2 linked regions of the Ovis aries genome follow. The protein of the gene in region 2 purifies or fractionates together with the protein of the main gene of each other region. This does not show direct contact. Links are inferred from orthologs where the notes say so. Each region holds a gene or a part of one and is shown on either strand. Other genes may lie near its edges. The genes, in order: CTNNBL1 and AICDA.

The links.
Region 1: the proteins of AICDA (region 2) and CTNNBL1 purify together in Homo sapiens (affinity purification with western blotting; 3 studies listed by BioGRID, with this or other methods). This does not show direct contact. The link is inferred for Ovis aries from reciprocal best matches to the Homo sapiens genes AICDA and CTNNBL1.

What each region holds. Positions count from the first base shown.
Region 1 is NC_056066.1:66,747,525-66,751,342, forward strand, and holds part of CTNNBL1 (beta-catenin-like protein 1), read left to right. Parts: intron 1-1,541; coding exon 1,542-1,679; intron 1,680-1,919; coding exon 1,920-1,992; intron 1,993-3,365; coding exon 3,366-3,594; intron 3,595-3,818. UniProt on the Homo sapiens protein: Component of the PRP19-CDC5L complex that forms an integral part of the spliceosome and is required for activating pre-mRNA splicing.
Region 2 is NC_056056.1:206,848,295-206,852,631, forward strand, and holds the start of AICDA (single-stranded DNA cytosine deaminase), read left to right. Parts: upstream 1-1,528; 5' UTR 1,529-1,610; coding exon 1,611-1,618; intron 1,619-4,337. UniProt on the Homo sapiens protein: Single-stranded DNA-specific cytidine deaminase. Involved in somatic hypermutation (SHM), gene conversion, and class-switch recombination (CSR) in B-lymphocytes by deaminating C to U during transcription of Ig-variable (V) and Ig-switch (S) region DNA.

The sequences.
Region 1 (3,818 bases), on a different chromosome or scaffold from region 2:
AAGTAGCTACAGGCAGGCCCCGTGGGCAAATAAAGAAGTGCGTTATCTGCGTCTAAATAGTCTCTGAAGGATGCTGGTGGGGATTGATGACCACGGTGGTAAGTCCTTCGAGTTTGGGAGCGTGGAAAGCAGGGTCCCCAGGGCTTCCATCAGTGACAGGTGCCTGAATTGTCAGAGGGAACCATGGCCGTAAAACCACTGACAGAATTAAGAAATGGGTTGTTGTCATCAAAAGCATGTATTCAAGCGCCTGTCTTCTCAGACCAATCTGCTAGTCGTGCAGAACGAGTCTTTCACCCAGTTCCGACTCTGACAGCCTGCAGCAGTCATGTCTCTTTCCTCTCATTCACCGCGTGGATGTTTACTGAGCCGGGGATGTAAAGACAGAATTCAGTCCCCACTTTCGCAGAGCTCACAGCCCACCCTCATGAAATAGAGGGAGTTATAGAAACAGAGAGCTGATAGTAACTGAAATCCATGTGGATATGATGGGCCAGAAGACGGCATGCCGTGGAGTGGCCTGCAAGGGTACTGTCAGGAATTTTGGAAAGGAGTTTTGTTATCCTTAAATGATCAAGAAAGGCTCTGTAGGAGAGGTTGCTTTATAGTGCTGGCATGAGAGATATCCCAGAACTCTTAGGAAGCAAGGCAGTAAAGGCCCTGAGACGGGAAGAAGAGCTGTCTTGGCAGAGGTGGTGATAATCCTCTGAATGAGGGGCTTTGGGGTGGAGTGGAATGAAAATATGCTGCAATGACTGTGATGGTGGTTGCATAACTCTGACTACACACAAAACGGTTACTTTAAATGGTTGAATACTATGGTACCTCAATTGTATCTGGATAAAGCTAGGTTTGTTTTTTAAAGAATCCGCTATACAGGAACATATATGGGGAGAGCAAGTCTGATAGGTCTGGGGTTACAAAACTTTAGGAAAGAAACTCCCTAAAGAGGAAAGAGATTAGCTCTTTGACCTTGAGGAAGTATTGAACTCGTGGAATGAAACAGAAAGGTTGGCGTTTTGTATCTAACAAAATATAAGCCAGAAGGGACACGTAGAATGGGTACCTGCACCATCAGGAGGGCACCAAATCAGAATTGTAGAGAAAGAGGACCTCTCCTCCCTAGGTTAATTTAATTTGGAAGAAAAAGAGAGTTAAGTATATCTTGTAGAGAGGTTACTGATGGAGGCGGGAACCAGAGTAAAGAATGAGTAGAAGTAGATAAATAGATTTATGTCCCCATCAGCTTATTTTTTTCAGGTTGAATGTGTGGATGTGATCATTTTGGCCTTGAGTCTTTGTATAGAGAAAATAATGGACTTTAGTCTTGGCTCCGTGAGCCTCTAGTCCGGTAACAATGAGAACATAAGATACTTGAGAATAATGAGTCAAGCAGGAGGCAAATGAAGGCAGAGTGGTTTTCTCTTGTTGTCGTAGTTGTCATTACTGTTCTCTTGTGAATCGTGAGAGGACTGGAAGCCTGTCCTTCCCTCCTCCGCTCACCGTCTGACTTTTGTTCCCCAATGTTCCTTCCTTTCTAGGACATGGTCCGGCGTGGGGAGATCATCGACAATGACATTGAGGATGAGTTCTACCTCCGGCGCTTGGATGCCGGGCTGTTTGTCCTCCAGCACATCTGCTACATCATGGCAGAGATCTGCAATGCCAACGTGCCCCAGGTAGGAGGGGCTGCCCTGGGTGGGCCCATCCATCCCTGCCTCCTTGCCTGCCGCCGGCTTAGGGGAGAGTCTCTCAAAGAAGGAAGTGGATCACACACTCCTTGAATTCCTTCACTCTACATGGGCCCTCTTTCTCAGGGATGGGGGTGAAGTGAATACTTCCAGTGTGATGTATTCTGATGTCTACCAGGACAAATGATGCTCTTTCTTTCTCTGTCCACTCTTGCTTTTCCTTATTAGATTCGCCAGAGGGTTCACCAGATCCTGAATATGCGTGGAAGCTCCATCAAAATCGTCAGGCACATCATCAAGGGTGAGTTGGATGTTGCTTGTGTCTGGGGCTCCAGGGAATTAATTAGATGTTGCTTTCTTTCCATCTCTGTCTGTATGCCTGGAATTTGGTGCGTAGCATTCTCTGCACTGCAGGCTTAAGTGTGTTGTCCAGGTCGGTCTGTGTCCAGATCATCCTGTCAGAATACCAAAGACTAACCTAGTTAATCTCTGCCTCTGATTCTCCACTTCCAGAATTTTAAAAACACAAACAAGAAGCAATAGGGATTGGAAATTTAAACACACACACACACACAAAAAAAAATCCAGGTCCAAACTGCATGTAGTGAAAGGAAATTACTTTCTTAGGGGAAAAAACAAAAAAACAAACAAAGAAACTAATCAGAACTACCTGGAGTTAAGGCAGAGGGAAGTGAGTTTGAGGCAGGATGGTATAAGAGAAAAAGCACGCCTGCTTTCCAGTGCTAGCTCTGCCTTCCCCCAGCCATGTGAGCAAGATCTAGAAGAAATTTGGAAAAGTTCATGGGATGTTACATGACAGCATCCAGCCTAGTGGCCAGCACACAGGAAATGCTCGGGTGAATTTCCTTCACCTTCCCCAGCGGGTCCCTTTTCGGCTGGACCTGACTCAGCTGGAGTGGCTCCCAGGAGGCCTCCGGTCGGTGAGCACGCTCTCGGTCAGCTTTGTGATGCAGTGCCCACCCTCGGACCACTTAGCACAGACCAGCACACACAGCAGCAGGAGCCCACGCTGGACTTTGCTGATAACACCAGACTTCAGAGTCATAGTGGACGGTACCGCAGGCACATTGTGTCCCTCTCTGACCCTCATTCTGCCCACTTCTTAGCCGAGGAATTAGGCTAGATTTACTTGAAGGGTGTGCAGGTAAGTGGCTTATAACTCCCATTACAGGTGGGAGATGAAATGTGGAGATAAATGATATATATAATAGAGTGAGACGTTAAGAGCCCTGGGTTCTGGGATCTGGCTCCTGGAAGTGAATCCTGTTCCTTCTGTTTGCAGTGCTGCCTCAGGCAAGATATCCAATTGCTCAGAGACCTCATAGAATAGGTAAAAGGATTAAATGAGATGATATATGGAAAGTGTCTCCAGTTCATAAGTTCTTGGTAGATGCTAGCTGAGTATTTGCTATTTGCTTGGTAAATGCTATTGTGAGTATTATGAAATGTGATGATAACTATCGTCAGCAGTGTTACAAGTGAGGCACGGCTAATATCCCATGGGAAGCTGTGTGGGAGTAGGAACATTGAGCTGGGTCTTAGACATTCCAAACCAAAGGAACTGTGTGGGTGAAAACCTAGGACTGGAAGCTACATGATCATCACTGCCCTCCCTGGCAAGTAGGGATAGTAAATCTTGTGCCCATTTTGCAGATGGAGCCTGTGAGGCACTGGAATTTATTGTCTTCCCCCCGAGGAAGAGGAAAGAGGGGACCGTTCATGAGCCTCACCTAGCATCTCCTGTAGTGGCATCTCCCCCTCAGTGTCACAGGCGCGTGAGTTACTGCTTCAGGCCTCACGCCACCTCCTGCCTCAGGTGCAGCTGCGGCGATGTGCAAGCCCAGCCTCTAAAGGACCTTCATTTTCAATGCCCACACATTCAGTAAGAACTTTTTGTGACTCTCAGCTCCGCTGTCTTGCATTTAAGCTTCTCCCTGCACCTCCATCCCCATGATCGAAACAGTGATCTGAGAAAGGAAGAGAGTTTTTAACACCTAGTAGGGGGATGCTTTTCTTCCTGACATCCTAACATGTGTACCTGAGATTATTCAGGATTTTCAGTTATTGCAAGCCAGCCTCAGTGCCCCTCAGAGCCCGATATATTCC
Region 2 (4,337 bases):
GGAAAATAAACCTTAATTAATATATATATATTTTTCGAAAGAATTACTCTGATTGCTGTGAGAATAGACTGTAATTGAAGAAAGGTGGCGGCAGGAAGGCCAGTTGAGCGGCTGAACACTTTTTCAGGATGCTTAGACCTGGAGGTGATGACAAGTGGTCAGAGTCTGGATTTATTCTGAAAGGAGAGTTAACAGGATTCAGGCATGAGATTTAAAAGAGAGCAACCAAGAAGATGGCCAGGATGGCTCTGAGTGCCACTGAGACAAAGAGGGAAGAGGACCGGATTATACGTTGAGAGAGAGAACAGGTGCTCAGTTTTAGCCATGTTTGAAATGCCCAGACATCCAGAGGGAGATGCTGAGGTGGAAGATGGATATACTTACTTTGAGTACAAGGGAGAGTTCCAGGCTAGAACTACAGACTGGGGCAAGGGGAGGATCATTAACATATAGACGATTTTTTAAAGCCTTGAAGCAGAAAGAGAGCAAGAACCCTGGCCGCTTGGCTCACTATTGCAACACCGGCACCTGGCAGTTTCTGTCACCTAGTGGGTATTGAATGTCTTATTGAATGAATAGATAGAATACATATGAATGCAGGAGGGAGAAGTAAAAATCTTTATTAGACCAGCTTGTATGAGGGAGGGAACTTAAAGCCTCTCATTTGAAAAGCCCAACCTGTTTTCTAAGTTCAGTGCAGTCACTTAGAGGCTGATTCTGTGTGATGAAATAAATCTTTTGTTGTTTGAGATGCTGTTGCTTCTGACTTCAAATTAATCTATGGCTTCTGTGGAAAAGATGACCTTATGCAAAAATTATCCTTTGGTGTAATCATCTAGCCTTCTAGCAATTCTTGTAAAGCAATCAAAGGGGGAAAAAAAAAAAAATCAGTGGTTTGGGAGGCAAAAATCTCCGTCCTAAGTCCTGAGTATACTTGGCCAGCAAACAAGCAGGAACAGTTAGTGTCGGTCTTTATTGAGACTCAGAGCTATTGTGTAATTAAATGAGGAATAGATGCTTTTGGCTGATCGGACACACGAGACTTTTAAATTTATTGTTATTATTATGTTTTAAAGATACCATTTTGAGGAGTTTCCTGGCAATCCAGTGGTTAGGACTTGGTGCTTTTACTGCTATGGCCTCGATTCAATCCCTGGTCAGAAAACTAAGATTCCCACAAGCCTTGAGGCTCAGCCAAGAAATAGATAAATGAATAAAGATATCATTTCTTACCAGGATTACAATATACAGTCTGTCTACTTCTCCTGTCTCCTGATCTTTACTACCTGTGGAGGGTGGACTGCATTTTTAAAGAAGCAGAACTAAAGGGACCTATACATTAGGCAGAGTGGCCCTCAGTCATTTTCTCTCTGTGAATTTTTGCCTATGAAAACCCCACCCATCTCCAGTGGACCCAAACAGGAGGAAGCCTGCTGGGGTATGGGGTACCTGTTGGTGGTGATGCTGTTGTGGGGAGGAGCCTAAAGGGCTGAGTTCAAATTTGAATGTGTGAGACCGGTGCATTTTCAGCCAGTGCAGCAGAAGTGCTGGAGGCAAGCTTTTCTTCTTAAGATCTTCAGGGAGCCAAGAAAGACAAACTGGATTCCACCATGGACAGGTAAAGCAGTCTGCTTGTGGGTGGTTGCGCTGGCCTTACTCTCAGAGCAAATCTGAGTGATAACATGCGTAGACTTTCCCTTTCCCCTAACACTGACTCACAGGATCTGCCTGGTCAAGATACACATTTATTTTTCTGGATCTGTCTCATCTTCTGTTCAGATCTTACATGCTTTCCGCCCAATTATCTTTCTCTTTTTTCCTTTCCATACTCAAAAGAACTTTTATGCACCATGCATTGACTTGTCCTTACAGTTAGGATAGTTTATGGTAGTAATATTCATCAGGCAAATGTTAAGAGACTCAAATCATGAAAAGGTCATGGCAATACTGTACTAAAAACAGTAGTGGTAATGGTAATAATTCTGTAAACATTCAACTGTAGAACCTCTTGAAGAAAAACTTGACTACAGAGACTTTATTGAAAATTACATAGTCAAGAAATTATTTTCTAAATGCCAATATTCAAAAGTATTTGCTTGAAGGTCAGTCACTGTCTGTGACAAGGAGATAAATTCAATTGAAAAAGCTTCTTTAATATTATAGGCCAAAGAGGCAGTTAATGGCATTTTTACTCTTTACTGAGTCTCTCCATTTCTTCAGACATGACTTAACTTACTTCTTTAATGCATACTCTGTAAAATTTTGATGATGTCTTCACATGAAGTTTATGACAATGTTATTATCATAGAACTTAACCTATTTCTATTGCAAATGTATGCAAATTTATACCTAATCCATATACTTCAATCTCAGTGTAGAATCTTAATGGTGGATTAAATGTCCTTCAGAAAACTGAGGGCAAAATATCACACGTCAGCTCAGTTTACAGTGAAAACTAATCTGTGGTATGAGACGAAAAAGGCTCAATGGAGATACTTGTAAATAATGAAATGCAAAACAACAGTAAAATCAGAGTTGAAATTCAGAGAAAGTCAGAGAAGGAGAGAGGATGAAATTCAACAGGAGAAAAAGGGAAATACATGATTTTCATTAAGGAAAATACTATCTGCAGAGCACAGCACTGATGGCACGCGGCAGGAAAGGATGACTTGGTCACGATTACTTTTAACCCATCTGTCTCTGGTTTGCATTGCTGGGGATGCAGCCAGGGTTCCGCTTCAGGGCACACAGCTGTCTGGCGCAGCTGTCAACCTGTGGGCCTTACAGACAGTCTCTACCGAGTCCTCTGCATCCTCAAGAGAAACCAAAGAAGACTTCCCTGGTGCGTCAGTGGCTAAGACGCCACACTCCCAATGCAGGGGGCCTGGGCTCAATCCCTGGTAGGGGAACTAGATCCCACATGCCACAAATAAGACCAGGTACAGCCAAATAAATAAATATTTCTTAAAAGAGAGGGAGAGAAACCAGAGAATAGGAACTAAGCCCCCAGCTATAATTAAAGATACTTAACAAGGTCACAGGCATGCAATTCAATTCACTGTGGCTGGTAACTTCTGATGGAAATAGTATTTTCATGTGGGGGTAGAAGGCCATTTGAATTCCTTAGTCTGTGTCCTATCCTTCCTTACACTCCCAGGACACTTTTCCCTCCTACGGGAACCGCCCGGCCAATACCACCTGCAATGCATGATATTGTATCCCCTCCCCCACTTCTCATCCACACAGCCCAGGAGGACAGGTTAAATGCAAAAGGAATTTATTGGTAAGAGACGATGCCTAATCCATTTAAAACTGGGCCCAAAGGAGAGAATTTTTTTTCTTCCTCTCCAGTATTTATTAGGCATCTACTATGTATTCGGTTTATGTAATATGCTGAGGGTGGTTATGTCAATTAACAATAGTAACAGTAACGAGGTAGTGCTGTGGTGGTTTTACCATGGTAAATTATTATCACTTTAGAATAAAGCCAGTGATTATTAGATTTTTATTAACATTCATTTTGGATTTCTGTCAAGTGTGAATTTTTAATTATAAAAATTTGATTGACTAACTTGTATATGGTTTCATATATGTAATGTATACACTGGTGATACATCTAATTCTCTACCTCAGGATTTTCTGTTTTTTTTTTTAATACCTCAGGATTTAAAGTGGATTCCAGGGACTTCCATGGAAGTCCCATGCTTCCATTGTAGGAGGCATGGGTTTGATCCCTGGTTGGGGAATTAAGATCTCACATGTCATGTGGCACAGCGCCCCACCTCCCACACCGCCCCCTCAAAACGATTTCCAATAAGCTTCATGTGTGTGGGAAAAACATTCAAATTACAACACCTTTAAAAATCTCTGGCCCTTGCTTACAGATTTAGTAAGGGTGACACTTGGGAAGTTGACTTCTGGGTCTATCTCATGTATTTCACTATCAAACTATCAATAATCAACATGTCCATACAAAGGTAGGTGTAGAAGCTTTATTCACAATAACCCTCGAATGGAAAACAACCCAGATGTCCCTCAACAGGTGAGTGAATACACGAAATGTGCTGTACCGAAGCAATGGAATAGTGCTTTGCAGGACAAAAGAACAAACTCTCCTGATACATACAGCAGCATGGATGAATGTCAACGTCATAATATACTTAGTACAAGAAGTCAGACACAAATGAGGCGATAATGCATGTTTAAAATAAAATTCTAGAAAATAAACCATCATTTATAATTACAGTGCCTGGGAGGGGGAAAAAGAACTGACTGAAGAGATGGATGAGAAAACTTGGGGGGAGGGGTGCCCTGAAAATGTTCCGTACACGACAGTA